Regions from separate parts of the Mus musculus genome. Here regions 1, 3 and 4 are each reported to be linked to region 2. Evidence: microRNA targets listed by miRTarBase, many of them from high-throughput screens and not tested one by one. Region 2 holds a microRNA gene; each other region holds the end of a gene's coding sequence.

Region 1 (5,071 bases), not on the chromosome of region 2:
AGAAGTTTCCCTTCAGATGTGTGCTTAGGAACTACTGCTAACTACAGAATGGTGTTTGTCAGAGTAGAGACATTCTTGCCTGAACCTACTGCCCTTTGTGGTAATTTTATTAGAAACAAAAGTGAATATGGGCAAGAAAAACCCCCTAAAATAAAAAAAAAAAAACCAACCAAACAAAAGCCAGGAAAAATGATTTGCCAGCACTCAAAAATTTCCTGTTTGTGGAATAAACAGGATGTGGACTTACACCGTCATTACTCATTTCTGGTGTTTATGGGGGAGAGGCAAGTAAAATTTTTGGTTGTCCTTAGGACCCATGTATTGGATTTTAGAATTTGAGCCCCCTTACACATAGTACTATGAAGAGGCAGTAAGAGTTGGCCATCCATCTGCAAGGCTTTCTACAAATAGCTCAGCTTGTCTGCTGGGATGTAACCTGCTTGATTGATAAGGCAGCCATGATATAAATGCACTGATGGCCCCTGATGCCTACCATTAATACTCAGTTGGGTACAATGCAGAGTCTTCCAGCTGCTGCCAGGGGAATCTAATCGCCTAAGACCACAGTATTCTCTGCTTTTTTACTTGGAGGTCTTTTAGCCCAGAGCCTTGAAGAAAGAAATAAAACAAAGAAAATGCAGAGTGTGTTTGGAAAGTCTATCCTGACCCTCAATGTACTATCAGGAAAAAAAAAGAGCCCCAGAAAAATGTTCCACAAAGATAGACCAATTCACAGACAATGTGGCCATTTGTAACTGCCAACCAAGATTTGAAATTATTCATTTTTATTCAAGATTTGTCTTTCTTTCTACAGAGTACAGAGGCACAGCGTTTGTTTTGCTCAATTGCCTATCAGCTCTGACCTCTGACCCTTAGATCAGACCCTGTATTTCCTTTGCTAAGGATTTACACAGGAAGCCTGGATTAATTGGGAGATATGTGGGGGGGGGGGGGCAGTCTTGTTATCTTGTTCCTTGCTCATTCTAGAGAAGGGAACTAATGTCTCTACTTGGGTAGAACTTCTAGGCAGGTTCAAAGAAGAAAAAGAAGTTCATTCAATTTTCTGCCTTAAGCCACTGTGGCCTCTCTGAAGCCTGTCAGGGAGGGTCTCTCGCTGACCTGTTCAATTTATGGCATTTACATTTTGTTTTCAGTTTCCTGTTTTGCCCCTCCCCCTTCTCGACGCACTTTTTTTTTTTTTAAATGAAGCATCCCTGAGCAGATTCAGTGCAACATCTGCATCAAGCAGTGATTGTCATCCTTGAGGTTTAAAGGAGACTTCAGAGCCCAGTTCCTTCTTCCAATGTTCACCTCATCCTAGCACATTCTGAACATTGGCCCATTCTCAGGAAAAGGAACAGCTTGCTGAGACTGTGTGTGGTAAAGAGAGTTTTTGTTGTTGTTTGGTTTTGTTTTTGTTTTTTACTGAAATTTCATGTAGTCAACTGAGATGTTCAAAGGGCAGTGTTTAAAGGCTTCCTTACCGTTAAAAACATGACTTCTCTTTAAAGGGAAAACTCGGCAACTGAAGCCAAAACTGGAGCTCTCTCCTCTGGGTGGAAAGTGGGCTGAGCCGGTCCTAGTTACCACTGTTTGGTTCTGGTTCAGTTCCTAGCTCTGTTTCCTGTCCCTCTGCTTCAAAAGGTTCATGCCATCCCAATGAAAGGCTAGGGCTAGTGGAAATGACACAATTTCAAAACCAGTATCTCCTGAGGCAAATGTGGGGAACAATCTCTTTCCTACACCACCCATGGGGCAAGGGAGGAAAAAAATTCTTAGCTACTTCATCAATTGAGCTGATGTAAATCCTCCAAGGTAAACTGAAGACAACAAATGATTCCCCTTTGCAGCCCAGTGGGATCTTCAGGCTGACAATGGGAAACACTGGGCCAACAGAACAATGAAAACAAAGTTTGACATGAGTTCAAAGCTCAAAGGGGAACATCAAGTAGACACAGTAAGCATTTCCTATCACAAGCCAATCATAAAACATATATCGCATTTGGAAACGGCTTGGTTTAATTGAGTGCCTTCCATTACCCTGTTTTCCTAGCAATCAGTAAAGTAATCTTTCCATTAGAAGGAAATATGACTCTTGGAATTAATTCTTTATACAAAGAGCTAGCAGGAGTGACATTTACACCAAAAAGAACTGAGTCCCTGTAGCAGCATAATAAGCAGTCTACAGCTGTCTTCTCAGAACCAAAGGTAATTTGGTTCAATGTAGTTAAATTAATTGAATATAACAGTGGTTGAAAAAGAGATTCATTATTTTAAAGTCTTTTTGTTTTCCCCCAATGGCTTGGAATTCATCAATCATGAGGTGAGAAAGGCCCCTGTTTTCTGAAAGGCAAGACTAACACTACTGTGCTCTGATCATCCACTGGAGTTCTGAGGCATCCTGAAGATGACTCTCAATCCAGAACTTTGAGAGAGCATAAGGGACTAAAAATGACTCAAAAAAAAAAAAAAAAAAAAAAAAAAAAAAAAAAAAAAAAAAAAAAAGAAAAGAAAAGAAAAGAAAAGAAAAGAAAAGAAAAGAAAAAACAAACAAACAAACCCAGAAACCCAAACCAAAAGACCCAAGTTTCTACAAAGCGGTGTGTGTGTGTGTGTGTGTGTGTGTGTGTGTGTGTATGTGTGTGTGTCTGTGGGTGGCTGTGTCATCTGTGTGCATGTTCGTGCGTGTGTGTGGCTTAGACTAGTTCATACTAAAGACCTAGGCCTTCCAGGAACAGAGAGAACAAATAGCTTCTAACTCATGCCTTTCTGGTGCTTAATTTTGTAGGAAAGTAGGTGAAGAACCTGTATAGGTTGCCGTTCCATTCTATACATTTTAGTGGCTAAAAAATAACCAGTTTGAATAGAGGATGTCATTTATAACTGTGTAGGATAGAATTTTGGCATTGGGATATATTAGTCCCATAGACAAAAGATTTACTGTTTTCTAATCTGAATTTTTTCTATATTTTATAATATAGCATTTTGAAGTTGAAAAAACAGGCTCCCGCCTATTTTCTCATTTCTAACAAATTACCATGAGTATAATTTAGTGAATTTACTTCTTAACTTTGTATGCTCTATTTCTCTTTTTTTGTTGGGAAAATGGTTAGAAAATATCTACACAAAATGGGTACAAGGAACTTGTTTTATACTTCTAGTCAAATATTTCTAAAAACGTTGATGGTGGTGATAATCTATAGACTGAATTTTTTGTTGTCTTGAAGAAATTATAACCACCAAAGTGAAGTTTCATTCAGAATTGGATTCCAAATCCAATGTGGAGGAACCTCAATATTTTGTAATATGGTAATAAATAGACAATATCATTATCTGGTCTATAAAACAGGAAAGTGGCTTCAAATCCTTTTGGCTTCCCCTCTTCCCGGTATGTGCCATCTTGATGGGGCTTTGAAGTAATTGATAGAAATGGAGCTTTTAAAAGAACAATTATGTGTTACCCCGATTCTTTTGTAGATTTCCTTTTGCATGGGTCCTATCATGTTGTTATGGATGGATAAAAACTCTGGCTGGAAATGAAAACCCTGATTGTCTAACATAAAAGTAACATATAACAACAGCAAATCACATGAAAGCCTGACTGAACCTCCATTGCTAGTGGGCATGGTATTTTAAGCCACAGTGCATGAATACGTAATAGTCATATATAATACTCTTACATATTATATACTCATTACATACATGCACAGTACTTTCCAAGACAGTTAGTTACGAATTTGCACATGCATCAACTACCTAAAAACATAGAAATAGGTAAAGCCTAGTAAGTGGAATCGTCTTAAATTAGAGTCGAACAATCAATCAACGGGAAGAGTAATCATGGAAAGTACGGCTCTGTTTGTGTATATATCTACAATAAAATTCTATAAACAGTTGTCTCCAAAACATACCCGAATAAAATTAAAAAAGATAACACCCAGTGTCCTATATTTGTATATTTATGATCATTTCAAAAACAAACAAACAACAAACGAACAAACAAAAGAGCCCCACTCAGGTGCATATTTACATTCTTCAAACTGTAGCGGTGAAAAATATTTCTATTAAGTGCAGGACATTCCTAATGTTGCAGTAGTGACATTTTCCTTAAGTCCCCATGAACACATTGCTTTTGTCTTAACGGCGATGCATTCCATGACTCTGAGAGTTCTCGTCCCCTTCATTTGCAGACCGCAGCACAGTCAGGATTAAAGAGCTCCTTGTACAATGGAGGAAACAGTGTATTCACTATGTCTGGATGAGACTGCTTAAATACCTGCAGCTTCTCCCCATGCAAGTTGCAGACTGCCGTGATAGTTGGTATCTTGGCTATTAACTGCAGAACACAGAGACAGAGGGAGACAAAGAGGGAAGCTCGTTAGTGGACTGTCTTGTGAATTAGTGTCTTTTTGGGGACCCAGATAAAGGTAAATGGCTTTGGAAAAAGATGTTCAGAGAGAATGAAGGCTCACTTTCAGCTTCCCTTGAAAAGAAAACAAAAACATATTTCTCAGCCCATGGTAAGAAAAAAAAAAAAAAACAGAGAAGAGAAAGCAAGCAAGCCAGGAGGTCTAAGACTCCTGGTTCATTATTCTGAAATAAAATATGCAAAGGAGGCATTCTTGTTTCATGCTGGTGAGTGGGTGCTAAGCAGGCAAGTACTATGAACAGAATCCTGCTTCCTAAGAGTCAAAGACAGTGTGACAGTGTGATTCAAGGCACTGTCTCAGTCTTTTCATTTGTAAAATGGGCTTGTTAATCCTAGCTCTCTCTTTGAGTTATGTGGACTGAGTAATTGATATGAATGTGTTCAGAAATCTGCAGCTATGAAACATAATTGTTAGCTAATAGTCATATTATCCTTCATTTCCTGCAGACTTCCAGGACATGAATATTAGGGTTTTTTGTTGTTTTTAAACCTTTGGAGGATGGTAATATTAGGAAAGTAACAGCAAGTTCTAAGAGCTCATGACACTAAGGCAAAAGAGACTACCTGTGGGATGGATGGGATGTGGGAGGCATGGGAGCCAGGGAGAGAGGAGCAGGGGAAAGAGAGAGGGCAGTAGGCATG
Region 2 (5,077 bases):
CTCAGTTACATTTCCAATGCTATCCCAAAAGTCCCCCATACCCTCTCCCCTACTTCCCTACCCACCCGTTCCCATTTTTTGGCCCTGGCGTTCCCCTGTACTGGGGCATATAAAGTTTGTGTGTCCAAAGGGCCTCTCTTTTCAGTGATGGCCGTCTAGGCCATCTTTTGATACATATGCAGCTAGAGTCAACAACTACGGGTTACTGGTTAGTTCATATTGTTGTTCCACCTATAGGGTTGCAGATCTCTTTAGCTCCTTGGATACTTTCTCTAGCTCCTCCATTGGGGACCCTGTGATCCATCCAATAGCTGACTGTGAGCATCCACTTCTGTGTTTGCTAGGCCCCGGCCTAGTCTCACAAGAGACAACTATATCAGGGTCATTTCAGCAAACACTTGCTAGTGTATGCAATGGTGTCATCGTTTGGAGGCTAATTATGGGATGGATCCCTGGATATGGCAGTCTCTAGTTGTTCCATCCTTTTGTCTCAGCTCCAAACGAGTAGTTATTAAGAGCTGGAAATGGACAAAGAAAACTCAGTTCAGTTATCATGGACAGCTGGGGAGTTCCAGTAATACTGTACCACTAAGATAAAACTAGTTAGGACATGGAGCTTGGATAAAGAAAAGAATCCCAGGTTAACTTAAGAAGAAGAACAAGTCTAGGGAAATTACTGTGATATGATAATGGTAAGGAGATCCTAACTTCGGAATCTAATTGGATTATCTTGCCAGCTGACAGTCAAAATACAAACTTAGTCATACTTGGTCAAACTTGACTAGGTACTGTCAATATTCTCTCTCTCTCTCTCTCTCTCTCTCTCTCTCTCTCTCTCTCTCTCTCTCTCCCTCTCCCCACCTCTCTCTCTCTCTCTCTCTCTCTCTCTCTCTCTCCCTCTCCCCACCTCTCTCTCTCTCTCTCTCTCTCTCTCTCTCTCTCTCTCTCTCTCTCTCTCTCTCTCTCTCTCTCTCCCCCTCTCCCCACCTCTCTCTCTCTCTCTCTCTCCTCCTGTCCTGGGGTATATAATCTTTGCAAGACCAAGGGCCTCTCCTACCATTGATGGCCTACTAGGCCATCCTCTGCTACATATGCAACTACAGATATACTCTCAGGGGTACTGGTTAGTTCATATTGTTTTTATCCTATAGGGATGCAGGCCTCTTCAGCTCCTTGGGTACTTTCTCTAGTTCTTTCATTGAGGCCCCTGTGTTCCATCCAATAGATGACTGTGAGCATCCACTTTTGTATTTGCCAGGCACTGGCATAGCCTCGCAAGTGATAGCTATATCAGGGTCCTGTCAGCTAAATCTTGCTGGCATATGCAATAGTGTCTAGGTTTGGTGGTTGTATATGGAATGGATCCCCAGGTGGGGCAGTCTCTGGATGGTCCTGTTTTCAGGCTCTGATCTGATCTTTGTCTCTGTAACTCCCTCCATGAGTATTTTCCCCCCTTCTAAGAAGGAATGAAGTATCCACACTTTGGTCTTCCTTCTCCTTGAGTTTCAAGTGTTTTGCCAATTTTATCTTAGGTAGTCTTAAGTTTCTCAGTTAATATCCACTTAACAGTGAGTGCATATCATGTGTGTCCTTTTGAGATTGGGTTACTTCACTCAGGATGATATCCTCCAGATATATACATTAGCCTAAGAATTTCATAAATTCTTTGTTTTTAATTGCTGAGTAGTACTCTATTGTGTAAATGTACCACATTTTCTGTATCCATTCCTTTGTTGAGGGATATCTGGGTTCTTTCCAGCTTCTGGCTATTATAAATAAGGCTGCTATGAACATAGTGTACCATGTGTCCTTATTACAAGTTGGAACATCTTCTGGGTATATGCCCAGGAAAGGTATTGCTGGATCTTCTGGTAGTACTATGTCCAATTTTCTGAGGAACCACCAGACTGATTTCCAGAGTGGTTGTACCAGCTTGCAATCACACAAACAATGGAGGAGTGTTCCTCTTTCTCAACATTCTCACCATCTGCTGTCACCTGAATTTTTGATCTTAGCCATTCTGACTGATATGAGGTAACATCTCAGGGATGTTTTGATTTGCATTCCCCTGATGTTTAAGAATGCTGAACATTTTTTCAGGTGCTTCTCAGCCATTTGGTATTCCTTAGTTGAGAATTCTTTGGTTTAGCTCTGTACCCCATTTTTAATAGGGTTATTTGATATTCTGGAGCCCTTTTTCTTCAGTTCTTTATATATATTGGATATTAGCCCCCTATCTGACTTAGGATTGGTAAAGATCCTTTCGCAATCTGTTGGTGGCCTTTTTGTCTTATTGGCAGTGTCTTTTGCCTTACAGAAGCTTTACAATTTTATGAGGTCCCATTTGTTGATTCTCGATCTTACAGCACAAGCCATTGCTGTTCTGTTCAGGAACTTTCCCCCTGTGCCCATATCTTTGAAGTTTATCCCCACTTTCTCCTCTATGTGTTTCAGTGTTAGGTGGAGTTCCTTGATCCACTTACACTTGAGGTTTGTACAAGGAGATAAGAATGGATCAATTCGCATTCTTTTACATGCTACCTGCCAGTTATGCCAGCACCATTTGTTGAAAATGCTGTCTTTTTTCCACTGGATGGTTTTAGTGCTCTTGTGAAGTTCAAGTGACCATAGGTGTGTGGGTCCATTTCTAGGTCTTCATTTCTCTCTCTGTCTCTCTCTGTCTCTCTCTGCCTCTTTCTTTCTTTCTTTCTTTCTTTTTTTTTCTTTTGTGTGTAGTATCTGTCATATAGTATTAAACCGAACTGTTTTCCTTATAGACACAATTTATTTTTACACACACACACACACACATATATATATATATGTGTGTGTGTATGTGTGTAAATAACAATGTTAAAATAGTAATGAGCCATGCTTAAGATCTGAGCATATGTAGCCTTCCACTGTGATACTTTTCATTTCCTGATATTTTCTGGTGATCTCACAAAGAAGAGTGTAAGATTATTTACCAAGAGAACATCCGAACTCCCTTAACTATTCTGGGCTACTTTTTACTTTTATTTTGCAAGCTCTAATTGTACTTAATTCCTGGCAATCACCCTATGATTTCACTTAAATCTCTATTAGCAAAACTTTGAGATATCCTTCAGTTGTCAGTATGGTAGCATAAGGCTCTTACAAAAAAATTAAGCTGATTCCCGAGAAGTCAACATTCAGACATTGGTGCAATCTTTTTCCCTAATAATTATTTTTTCTAATCAAGCCTGTGTTTAAATTTATGTTACAGCATTTCCTCAACACAGATCAACACTTCTTGATAATGGTTTATTTTAAAGTTAATTTTTATGACCAAAATACTGGCTTCACTTTAGTTGAGGTACAAAAACATTAAGTTCACATTTTAGCATTTTTTTCTCAGATACTATAAAAGATTGATAAGGAATTAAAATATTTTCATCTCCCCATCAATACAAATGCTAAATTCACCACTGAGTTAAAACTTTATTTGCATAAGATCCCTGCTTAATATTAGACCTTAAATGATTAGGCTGTTGACCCCTTCCAGCTTTCCAACTTATTTTTTTCACTTCTTTTTTTTTAAGATTAATTTGTATATTTTATCTATGTGTGTATACTTCTGCTCTCTTCAGACACACCAGAAGAGATTCCATTACAGATGGTTTTGAGCCATCATGTGGTTGCTGGGAATTGAACTCAGGACCTCTAGAAAAGCAGTCAGTGTTCTTAACCAAGCATCCATCTCTCCTGCCCCCCTCCTTTTTGTTTTACTTCTATTCTTTTAAATATATCAATCATGAAAGACTGAAATGATACCTCTGCCAATGGGGAAGCAACACAGCCATCATCTCTGTTAGAATAAAAATCAAGAGGAGTATGAGCCTGACTATGAACCTGGCTTTTGTTCCAGGACAAAGCATGTTGCATAAGCAATTGTCTTGCTTTCTTTCAAGATTATTATTTGATTCTTACAGAGGTCTCTGAGAACTCAGACTGTACAGGAGTTAGGATAGTGCTGACTCCAACCTAAGAACCTTAACAGTGTTTATTCATAGCAGGGCTTTCAAAATCAGAGTCAACTCTCAAATATTCCTTCACTGAGCAATTAAACTTTAACATTTTCAGTCCTCGTGATGTTGACGATTTTCATCAGTGAATTCTGTCCTTAAAAATTTTGTTTTGCTCATTCATCACACATTTGTTGAAGTTTTCCATATGTCTATGTTAATGAAAAATTTATTCTAGCTAGCCCATATAAATGACACAGAAACGTGGTATTTTATTTATGCACTTCTCCTGGCCACTTGCTCATGGTCCAGCTCCATGGATCACAGCCTTCCCTCTCCATCTTCCTCTCTTTCTCACCCATAGTCTCTCTAGTGACCCCTCACTTAATTTCCACTCAAGCCATGCCTTCCTCTCTCTTCTGCCCATTCACAGCCTCTAACTTTTAATTAAACAATAGCTTTAAATTGAGGAGCAACATTTACACAACACAGGACCAGTGCACCCAAGAATTTATCTGTCTGGTTAGTGAACAGATCTTCATAATTTGGTGTTTGTATTCATAGCAATATACCAAACCCAACATGTGCTATATGGTAACTATTTACTATATGGTAAATATCCTGATATGTTTATATGAATTTATTTTAGGAAGTTTCTACTGTGGTAGATTTCCACATTACATCCTCAAATGGTCTTTAGTTTTATTTTTCCCTCCTGATATTTCCTCCTTTATCAGACCTTCCCATCCCTACATCCATTAGTTCTTCCCTGTGCTATTACTTTCTGTTAAGGCTTTATAGCACAATGCTCTGTACCCGCTCCTTGAAATCCATCCCCTGAGTGACAGCCTTACTCATCTCTTAACATCAGTGAGGATGCCAAACAGGACACATATATCTGAAGAAATAAAAGTAACATTGCCATTTTTTTTTTGAGACAGGGTTTCTTTGTATAGCCCTGGCTATCCTGGAACTCACTTTGTAGACCAGGCTGGCCTCAAACCCAGAAATCCTCCTGTCTCTGCCTCCCAAGTGCTGGGATTAAAGGCATGCGCCACCACTGCCTGGCTTGCCAATTTTTTTTTAATGTG
Region 3 (5,071 bases), not on the chromosome of region 2:
CTCTTCTGGCACATCTGAAGACAGCTACAGTGTACTTATGTATAATAATAAATAAATCTTAAAAAAGAAAAGCCAAAAAAAAATTTTTTTTTCCTCTTTCTGGGCCAAAATAGTATGTTCTGACATAGTTTAACAATTAAAACACAGGAAATATCTTTTCTCCCCAGCTTGAAAATAAGGAACTTCGAGAGTTACTGTCCATCAGCAGTGAATCTCTGCAGGTTGGAAAAGAAAGCTCTGTGGCTCCTGCCTCTCAGACCATCAAGTAACTGGACTTCCGAAGGCTGGCTACAGCTTGCCCGTCAGAGCGAGAAGCCGTGCCCTCCTCTCCTGCCGTGTCCAAGAGTCCTGCCGCAGACTTGACTTAGTGTTGGGTAGAGGTATGGGGTGGCAGTTTAGAATTGCCACTTGGTATTCATTGTCCACTAACTAGTTTGGGGTGTACTAGTGAAACTAGACAAGTCCCCCATTGCTGGGACAGAGATGACATTTGTCACTCTAGTCCGGAATCTCTATAAACTGTTACCTGCAGTTCAATGTTGTTTTTCACAGCTTGGAAACACTGAACACTTTTATTATAAGCCAGGATTTTATTTTATATAGGATTATAAAAATTCCTTCTAAGAGTTTTTCAAAGATTTAACTTTTTAAAAATACATATTTGGTGTAAACCTAGATTTTTTTTTTCTTCCACTTGTAAAAGTAGCATGACTTCAAAGAAGCAGATTGGCAGAGTCTCTGAGTGACGTCGCTCATCCATGGGGTTTGATCCTCTCCGGTGCTAGGAGTTGGCACTTTGTGGTCAGGTGTCTTTGCTCTTAATTTGAGAGAATCTATTAGTCCCCAGGAAATACGCTTGAAAACAAGTAAGCCGGGTTCGCGTTGCTCCTCCTCCTCCTCAAGGATCCACAGTCATTCAGAGAGTGCTGAGGAACTTGGGCCTGCCCCATCATGCACAGGGAGCTATTAGATGTACATGACTGTACATGTACATTGGACTTAAATGCCAAAAATAGCTTTTATTTATTTGACCAAGTAGTTTTCCATTCTGTCTGCCTAAGGAGTCTTCGGCTTAGGTAGTTGCCTTGTATGAGACATACACATACACACACACACACACACACACACACACACACACACACATACCTCACTCACAGGTTCCTAGCTCCTAGGCACTTTCATGGACACACAGCTGTGCTGTGCTGTGCTGTGCAGAGCAGCACCACTGGGATGGTTTAGACCGGCATCAGTACTTTGCTGTCTTTCCATCTGCTGGGTTTTCTCATGGAAGCATTTTATTACTCACAGAAAGTTACCACATTCCTGATGCCATGCATTCAGGCAATCAAGAACAACCTGAGATTCTAATAGCTCCCTGTCAGTTCCTTCTCATCTTGGTTTGCTCATATGTCAGGTTTATAAATAATTCCTTTTGCACTGTTTGCCCAGATGGACTTTGGTTTTTGTTCCCATGTTAACTTTCACTCCAGCTGCTCCCCTTGATGTTTCCCCTAAGGGCCCCAAGTGTGTACTCCACAAACCCATTCAGGGGTGGGTTCCTTTACCACTTGTCAGCTGTCACAGCAGGTCCCATCACAGTGAGAGCATTATCAGTCAGTCTATTTCAGCAGTGAGCATGGTGTCCCTTTCTTTATCTGCCTTCTGTTCCCGTAGCACTCACTACAAAGGTCTTTGCATCTAGCTTTCAGAGGAATCTCTCCATTGCAGTCCTGAGGGTAGAGCAAGCTTTCGGTGCCCTGTGTCGTATAAATTCTGCCTGGTGTTAGTGCTGTGAAGGCATTGCAGAGCTAGCACATTGAATGGAGAAAGAATGTTTCACACTTGTGTGAAGATGCTAATATCTCTTGCAATGGGTGGAAGTATTTAGTGTATAAAATTTTAGTATGAAATTATATTAACTAATAAAAACCTTTTTGAGAAGATTTGCTCATTTTACTGAGAAATGAGTCTAAGAAGTTGAGCTGGAAAAAAAAAGGAAGTTTAGCTGAGCAGTGGCGATGTACACCTGCAATCCCAGCACTTGGAAGGCAGAGGCACATCTCTTGAATTCGAGGACATGCAGGTTTACCTAGTGAGTCCCAGGAGACTACACAGGGAGACCCTGTCTTGAAAAAAGCAAAAAGAAGTATAGGAGATTTTTTTCACATATTCACATACATAGCAACCATGGCAAGTGTTCATGACATAGATGTCATAAGCAGCTTGCAATTATTCAATATATTCAGCAGTATAAACCTTTGAAAAGCACATTAACAACCTATTCATTGCAGAAGTCCTGAATGTATAATTTACCACTGAAGTCTATTTCCATGTTTCTTAAAATGCACCTAATGAAATAGAAATTTATGGATGGAATCTGGAATTTACATCTTAATAATCATTCCAGAAAACGGCAGTACCGGTTTAAGAACATGTCTGTTAGGGCTAGGAGATGGCTCAGCAGGTCTAAGTGCTTACCATGAAGTCAGATGGCCTGAGTTCAATTCCTCAGAACCCACATGAGGGAAGGAGAGAACCAACTTCTAAAAATTACCTTCTGACCTACAACACACAAACAGATAAATTGTGTATGATGTTCTGTGCAAATTATTTCACTAGGAGTTAAAAACAAACCGACTTTAAAATGAGAAGAGTGGTAAAGGGATATTACAGAGGGGTGGGATATAGCAGCGCTATTCCCCTCTATGCTGCCTGCCCGATAGCAGCAGATAAATTGGGCATGGTGGCACATGCCTGTAATCCCAGAATTTGGAGCAGAAGCAGGAAGAGCAGAAATCCAAGGTCATTCTTGGCTACATAGTAAATTCAAAACCAGCCTGGGCTACAAGAGACCCTGTCTCAAAAAACTAAACAAAATGTTGTGCAGATAATTTTGATGCAGTGTGTTACATCAGATGTAAGTGTAGGATACAGCACAGAAAGGGCTGTGTTATTTGAGAATCTAAAAGTTGACCAGGGAAGGGGGTGGGGGAGGGGTGGTGCTAGGAGAAAACATAGAAAACAGCTGCAGAATCGAAGTCCAGGGGGTCCTGCAATGGTTACTTCCTTATACTAAGGGGTTTTCTGTGTCAGCTGACACAGCATCCCCGCTTCAGTTCTTTACAGTTCCATACATACTAGAAGGTTCTAATTTGTCCAAAGTGGAGCCAAGAATCACACTCAGGCACTCTTCAGCACATTTCTTAAGGACCAAGTTAAGGCACCTTTAAATGCACATAACTGTGGAGTTCATGGATCTTGATCGGCAAAGTCAGTCAACAGGTTAATTAACAGGGTAAGAGAGACACTATGGCCTGTGTGTTGTGAATACCGTGACTTCTGTTTAGTTCACGCTGCTGCATGGTCCCTAGAATGCTGTGCCTGTGAGTGGTCCTCAGTGTGGAGGGAAGGGTGCATTTCTGCACAGGGTGCCTTTTTCCACGTTGGCTCCGTCTGTGATGCTGTTATCTTGTTATAGGCTACTGCTGTGTCAGATGTCATGCCCATGTGGAAGACAGGGAAAAAATAGAAAACTGCCTGCCCTACACTACAGACACATGGGGAAAGCAAACGTTTCCAGAAATTCTAATGGAGTTCTCTCCATATCTGCCTCACTTATTAAATAGACATGTCTAATTGCAAAGGAAGCTAGGTACACAGCCGTGCCAAATAAAATCAGTATCCTCTTAGCAAAGAGAAATCATACTGAGAAAACAGTAAGGCCTGATTGTTACAGTAAGGCATTTTACCGTAAATATAATTTTTAACAAATTAAAATTATTAGCTGCAGGGATGCCTACGTTGAGTCACTAAGAAAATGAGCTGTAGTGGACACTGTTATTTCTTTACTGACTGCTCAATGTCCTACCCATGCCTGGGTAAAGTTTCCCTGCCTAACGTGGCAGAGCCTCCCTCTTTCCTAAAGAATCTGGAAGTACCAGTTACCCAGTTTCCCAGCCACCTTGGCATCGAGGAAAGATTCAGCTGCTTTGAATTTCAAAGTTAGTGATATGGCAAAGCTGGGAGCCACACAGAAACCTCTGAACCTGGGGACCAGCAACACAGGCTGCTGCTGGGTTTGGCTCCATAGAAGAGCAGCAGAGCAGGTCTGGAGTGCTAGCAGGCAGCTGTGGAAGACCCAGTGTATGCAGTGGAGACTGGAGACTTGCTGCAAACATCCTTATAGCATTAGACGCAAACCTCTTAAGTCTCATTTCCTGGCTGCCCAAGAGATCCTGAGAAATATTTTTAATGAAATTAATAAAACCATTTTTGTTGAAATTAGCCTGAGTTGCCTATATCTAAGAAATCTGATCAGGAACAAATTTCTAAACAACCATGCACATATAAATGTTATCAGTGCTTATTTTTGCACTTAAATTTTTATGTAATATTGGGCATTTATAAAAGGATAAGATGCGCTGGGTGTGGTGGCACACGCCTTTAATCCCAGCACTCAGGAGGTAGAGGCAGGCGGATTTCTGAGTCGAGGCCAGCCTGGTCTACAGAGTGAGTTCCAGAACAGCCAGGGATACACAGAGAAACCCTGTCTCAAAAAAACCAAATAAAACAAAACAACCCCCCCCCCAAAAAAAAGGGATAAGATGGCAATGCAGGCACATTATCATGCATTCATTACCTAATTTAAGAACTCAGTTATTACCAGTGTGGGGAAAACACCTGCCTAGCATACACAAAGCCCTGGCTCAAACCTCAGGCACCACAAAAGCAAAACCCAAATATTACCAGTACTAGGCAGGCCACTTAGCCCACTTTTAATCCCAGCACTCTGGCTGGAGTTAGCAGCAGATAGATTTCTATGAGTTCAGAGATGAGCCTGATCTACATATTGAGTCCCAGAACAGTTAGGGTCATATAGTGAGACCCTGCCTCAAAAACAAACAAACAAAAAGGCATGCTTTAATCCCAGCAGGAGAGAGGCAGAGGCCCACCGATCTCTGAGTTCTAGCCTGGTCTACGGTGAAGGCAGTGGTGCTCATTTTTTTAAAATCCTGCTTTTATTTACCCCAGGGGCCCAAGGGTCCACACTTCTCAACAGAAGCACTTTCTA
Region 4 (5,071 bases), not on the chromosome of region 2:
ATCTTTTAAATACTGGAATTCAATTTTATTGTTGTCATTGTACTTTTAATATATTAGCTGTCCTTTAAAAGAATTCTAAGAATGAGGGAATTGAATCTTAGAATCATTAAAATCACATGGGAAACAAAAATAGAGCTTAGTTATAAGAAGGCTTAAGGAAAAATATATCTTTCACTCAATATTCTTTGGGTTTCTGTCACCCTATGAAGATAAAATTTGCTTGTGAACTATTCTTTCCCAGCATCCCACTGTTGGTGATGGTGGCAGAAGCCTGGAACTTTTTTTGGATTAAGAATGTAGACTGTAGGCTATATTCAAGTCCAAATGGTTATTTTCTCTGAGACTGTTATTTAAAATAAAAAATTTAAAGGCTTTGAGAAAAGACAGTGGATTAAATTCTATAACCTTTCAGTATACTACTTTTTCTTTCAGCTACCTAGCAAAACGATACTTTGTATGACCTGAAATTTGGATACATATGTGTACAGATGCACATACACATATAATGTGTATACACATTATATGTGTATGTGTGTGTATAAGCAACTTTTGAACACAAGTATTCTCTGAGATAGAAAAGACATTTATCAAGAGTTCCTAGAGGGGATTTCTTGCCTTTTTCCTTCATGCCATCATCTTCCAAGGATGCAAAGCCTCAAATGCTGCTAATTAGTGTCAGTCACTAACCAAAGCAAGATGCTTTGTTCTGCAGTCTGTACTCAAGCAGAACCACCCATTCCATTGTCCACAAGTCACAAAGACTCATTTAGTAAGATCCAAGTTAATATTCATCTGACCCAGCTGAAATGGGAGCAAGCCTCTGAGGAAATACGCTTTTTCTTGGTCATTTGACCATAAGTTCATGGATTATAAGCAAGGAACAAGGGGAAAGTGAAAGGAGCACTCCCTAGATAGGACAAATTAGAAAAATAACACAGGGTCCTATTCTCTCAGCTCTAGATATGATGTGCCCACCACAGAACTGCCCACATTGGGTGAATAAAGAGGCAAGGCAGAGGATGCGGCTCTCCAGGGACAGGAATCTGGAACTCTCCTCACAGTCTACTGAATGCCTTTTCTCCAGGACTGAGATACCTCCCTTCAACAATCCCGATCGACCCCAGTGCCAGCTATGGTTGCACTCAAGCTTGTCAGTGCAAACTGGTAATTACTACCTCGAGGAGACCTGATCGACCTATTGCAATAGAAGTTGGATTTCCCCAGGAGAAGCCTCGGTTGGATCTACTCACTGAGAGGAATCTAGAATACTCTGGTGGATAATGGTATCTACTGGAAAATGGATTTCTGGTGTTTTGCTCCACAACAGATGGGAATGAATCACCAAGCCTTCCCAATGATGATAGATGGTAAGTTCCCTACTGCCAGCAGCACAGCTCTGAGCTAGTCTGATGGATAAACCTTGCTTATCATGGTTGAGGCATAGGATAGAGATGACTACAAATAAAACCCACTTACATCATGAATCCATTCATCAACAGGTTACATGTAGAAATGCTTAAATGGACTTTCAACTTTTACCATAAACTTACATAGAACTATGAATACTGCCAGACAACCACAGTGGCTATTTAACTCTGGAATGGCATGAGAAATGAGCACAGTTGTGAAATGAATGCTTAACAAATGGTGCATACGAGAAAACAAATAGTTGGACAACAAAAATTTTGGGTTGTCACCAATGCGGGTTAATCTATACGTGTACTCGTACATTTAATATATATATATCTATATATCTTTCTTTAGAAATGCAACTTTACAGCTGATCTTTTTTTTTTAAAAAGCTAATAGAAAAGTAGAAACTGGCGATTCTTTTTACATGTTTCCCCACCCCCAAATGAAGCCCTGTTAACATGTGGCAATCACATGAAGATGAGGTTGTAAATTTCTCTATAAATTCTTTGGTTCTGGAAAGGGCGGATCACCTAGACTCCTACCCCTGATCCTTGCTCCCCTTCCCTCCCCTAATGACAACACTGAACACAGAAGCAACCAAGTCTAAGGGTTAAGCCACAGACATTCAAGCGACAATCGTATTTCCCATGCTCTGCTGAGGAGAGAAAGGGACACCTTTCAGTATCCCGACATCTCAAGTTTGGAGTCCATGGAACTTTATGTGTAGGGGGGAGATTCCATGTTGGGTAAAAGCCATAAAACAAAACTAAAGGGAAACAATAAAATCAAACAAATGACCCTTTCCTTTTGTTGCTTAAAGAAACAAAATCGATTACCTTTGTACAGATCAATGACGCTATAAGTATTTTAGCCAGGCAAAAGAAGGTAATGAACTGAGACAAAAAGGTGTGAGAATCCTCATCTTTGGTATTGTAGCTGTTGAGGTTTCTGTTGCTCTGTTTCCATGTTCTTTTGAAAAACTGCATAGGCACAAATTAAAGACAATCTTCAACGTTAAGATTACCGAGTGAGTTGTCATATGAAGCAGCAGCCATTGAGGCTCGTCTGTTGATTTGTGTCTCAACCCTTTCTTTCAAATCTGCTTCCAAAAAATAAAAAAATAAAAAATAAGAGCGTCCCAAAAGGTCTGTTTGAACACAGTGTGTCTTCGGTGGTTTTGTTGTTTCTTTCATTCTAGCGTGCTTTTTCTGTTGATGGTGATTTCCAGTGATTGGTGGAACCATTTACTCATTCAATGGGACAGTTCTGTTTGTTGCAGAAGTAGGTGCAGAAAAAAAGTTTCTTTGGTTTCAATTAAGCAATTCATACAAAAGTCAGTCTCAAGTGTCTGTAAAGAGTCATCGAAGCTTTTGGCTTGCTCCGAACACCCCTTGGTGCCCACCTGGGGCCATTCACTGGTAAATATGCACATAGTGACCTTTGTAATCTCCCAGAGTTCTGTGGGCCCTCTTTCACTTGCTATGGGAAGGTGACCAACCAGGGCTGGCGTGGCGAAGTCACTGCCCGGATATTTGGCTAATGTCATTGATGTAGCTGGTCTGCTCAGCCAGGTGGTGAGCCCAAGACAAGAGCCGAATGCCACTCGGAGTTACAGAGGTGCTCTGATCTCTAAAAGTAATCACAGTATTTGTAGGCTAGAAAATGGCAGGTAACAAATGTCTTTGGTTTGCAGTATTCTGCTTCTTTGGTGTGCTGTGTTCTCTCCAGGTTCTGTCAGCTGTATTATAAGGATGAATCAGCAATGGAAGAGAGTTAGGAAGAGACGACAGGAAGTGGCTTATTAAACTGTTTCTTTGTAGAAAACAATAGAGACATCCCAACTAATGGGATGCGATAGGGAACAACACGGATCAGCAAGAACAAGAACAAACCACACTTGTAATGCACATAGGAGGACCTGGGTGACTTGTAAATCAAGGGCACAGTAATGATCTAAAAAAATCTAGATCTTCTTAAATGATGCATTTGCTCCTGTACTGTAGCAGTTAAATTGGCCTCCTGAGTGTGCATCTGCGCAATGTACAAACAGAGTTTGTAACAACCTGCAAAATGTGCTTGAAGCCATATTCCCAATAATTCCCTAATGACTTCACAACAGTAAAGACTGATGTAAACGGCCTTGTCAAACTGGATGCGTTGAAACCAGAGCCTTCCTTATTTCTGTATATCTTCGTTGTGCTTGATACTTTGAGCTCAAGTGAATTGACTTTTTTTTGACGGATCCAGAAGACCACATGAGATTTCCAGGAGGTAAAGAAAAGAAAAATCGTAAACTGAAATCAAAGTTTTCTAAACTATCCAATGAAAAGATGCCTGAGTTGGAAAAACATGTCCTTGGATTTTTTTTATTGATTTCCATATTTAAAACTTGTGCTCAGTAATTACCATTCTGATTTTTTTTTGTAATGTTATGGCTGAGAATTTTTAATGTACTGTGATATAAAGAGGCTAAGCACTTGGGGAGCAAATGAGGCCTTTCTTGTTAAATTCTTCTGTAGTGTTTTGGAATCCTGTGTCTATACTCAGGCCAAATATCCACTATGACTTGCAGGAAACTAGTGTTAGCAAGAGGTTGACAGGGCCTGAATAGGGCTATTGATGCTTACAGCTGCACTGAACTTGGTTGACATTGTGCTGTGATTAACTCACTCCAAGAAGGCCCCATTTGGGTCTCTGGGATGCTTAGCATACTCAGAGGATAGTGTCTGGTTCAAAGAGATTAACTTTCAGCGTGTACTTGGACTCTGTAGCCATTTAAAATGAAACAAAAGAAAATGGACACCTGGCCTATGATTACAGCTAGATTAGAAGTTTCAAGAGAATTGTGCTTTCAAGTCACCAGTGAAGGGCCCCAGCTAAGAATCTGATGTCTTTGTGATTTTTTTTTTTTTTTTTTTTTGGTTTTGGTTTTGGTTTTGGTTTTGGTTTTGGTTTTTGGTTTTGGTTTTTGGTATGTGTTGTCCTCATTTGGAGATGACTTGTGCCCAGGTGGAGAGTCCTTGCATCATGCTTTGGTACAAGTGCTGGAGGTGGATGAAGAACCCCCTGTGCCTAGGTCATCTTGCCATTTCTCCAGGCTGCGACGCCGGGCATTCATGAAGAAGTTACTGACAGTGGTCAGCTCCAGCCCAAGTTGCTGGGAAATGGTGATCTGCATCTCCTTCGAAGGGCGCTTATTTTCCTTGAAGATGGCGAAGAGTGTTCGGCGTTGGAGGTCCGTGAACACCAGGCGGGATTTCTTCTGCGAGTTGTTCCTGTCTTTGTTTGGTTCTTGCTCTTTGCGTTTGCATGCTTCAGGGGAAAGAAGAAAAGAAAAGGGAGAGGAGTCAGTGGTACTGGGAGGACCCAACAGGGAAGGCAAGCCATTGAAAACATGGACCAAGTCATAGAGGGGATGGAAACTATTCAGCTTTATTGAATGGATTGCCCACATGTCAATAGCAAGCCAACCCAGTTCATCTTGGTGATGGAGGACATCAGTTAGCAAGCGGGGATTGGAAGAAAGGAGAGCCATGGCTGCTTCACATAGTCTAGTATGGATCTGACTCAACTTGTTTCCTTTCTCTTTTACTCCCATCCCTCTGTGCCTGCTTAACTCTGAAGTCAGCTGTGGTGAAAGAGGTGAAGAAGCCATGCA

Evidence for each region. Region 2 holds the annotated microRNA mmu-miR-1187 (UAUGUGUGUGUGUAUGUGUGUAA, at 2,822-2,844, shown strand). A microRNA usually pairs through its seed, bases 2 to 8, with sites in the 3' UTR of a target mRNA and lowers its output. Matches are read on the target gene's strand: a 7mer-m8 pairs with bases 2 to 8, a 7mer-A1 pairs with bases 2 to 7 and ends in A, and an 8mer does both.
Region 1: the mRNA of Rorb is a reported target of mmu-miR-1187. Seed matches in the 3' UTR shown: 7mer-A1 at 3,452-3,458, 8mer at 2,636-2,643 and 7mer-m8 at 17-23.
Region 3: miRTarBase lists Sike1 as a target of mmu-miR-1187. Seed matches in the 3' UTR shown: 7mer-A1 at 1,099-1,105 and 8mer at 1,138-1,145.
Region 4: the mRNA of Onecut2 is a reported target of mmu-miR-1187. Seed matches in the 3' UTR shown: 7mer-A1 at 4,386-4,392, 7mer-A1 at 2,132-2,138, 8mer at 528-535, 7mer-A1 at 522-528 and 7mer-A1 at 478-484.

Annotation. Positions count from the first base shown.
Region 1 is chr19:18,933,700-18,938,770 of GRCm38, forward strand. Rorb (RAR-related orphan receptor beta) reads right to left here. Exons shown (of 10, transcript NM_001043354.2): 10 at 1-4,336. The coding sequence ends at 4,181. Among named protein-coding and RNA genes, the nearest start is that of Rorb, 170 kb to the right of the region's middle.
Region 2 is chr5:82,796,731-82,801,807 of GRCm38, reverse strand. Mir1187 (microRNA 1187) reads left to right here and starts at 2,743; the gene lies at 2,743-2,864.
Region 3 is chr3:103,001,541-103,006,611 of GRCm38, forward strand. Sike1 (suppressor of IKBKE 1) reads left to right here. Exons shown (of 5, transcript NM_025679.3): 5 at 168-2,374. The coding sequence ends at 269. Among named protein-coding and RNA genes, the nearest start is that of Sike1, 8.3 kb to the left of the region's middle.
Region 4 is chr18:64,385,999-64,391,069 of GRCm38, reverse strand. Onecut2 (one cut domain, family member 2) reads right to left here. Exons shown (of 2, transcript NM_194268.2): 2 at 1-4,725. The coding sequence ends at 4,439. Among named protein-coding and RNA genes, the nearest start is that of Onecut2, 48 kb to the right of the region's middle.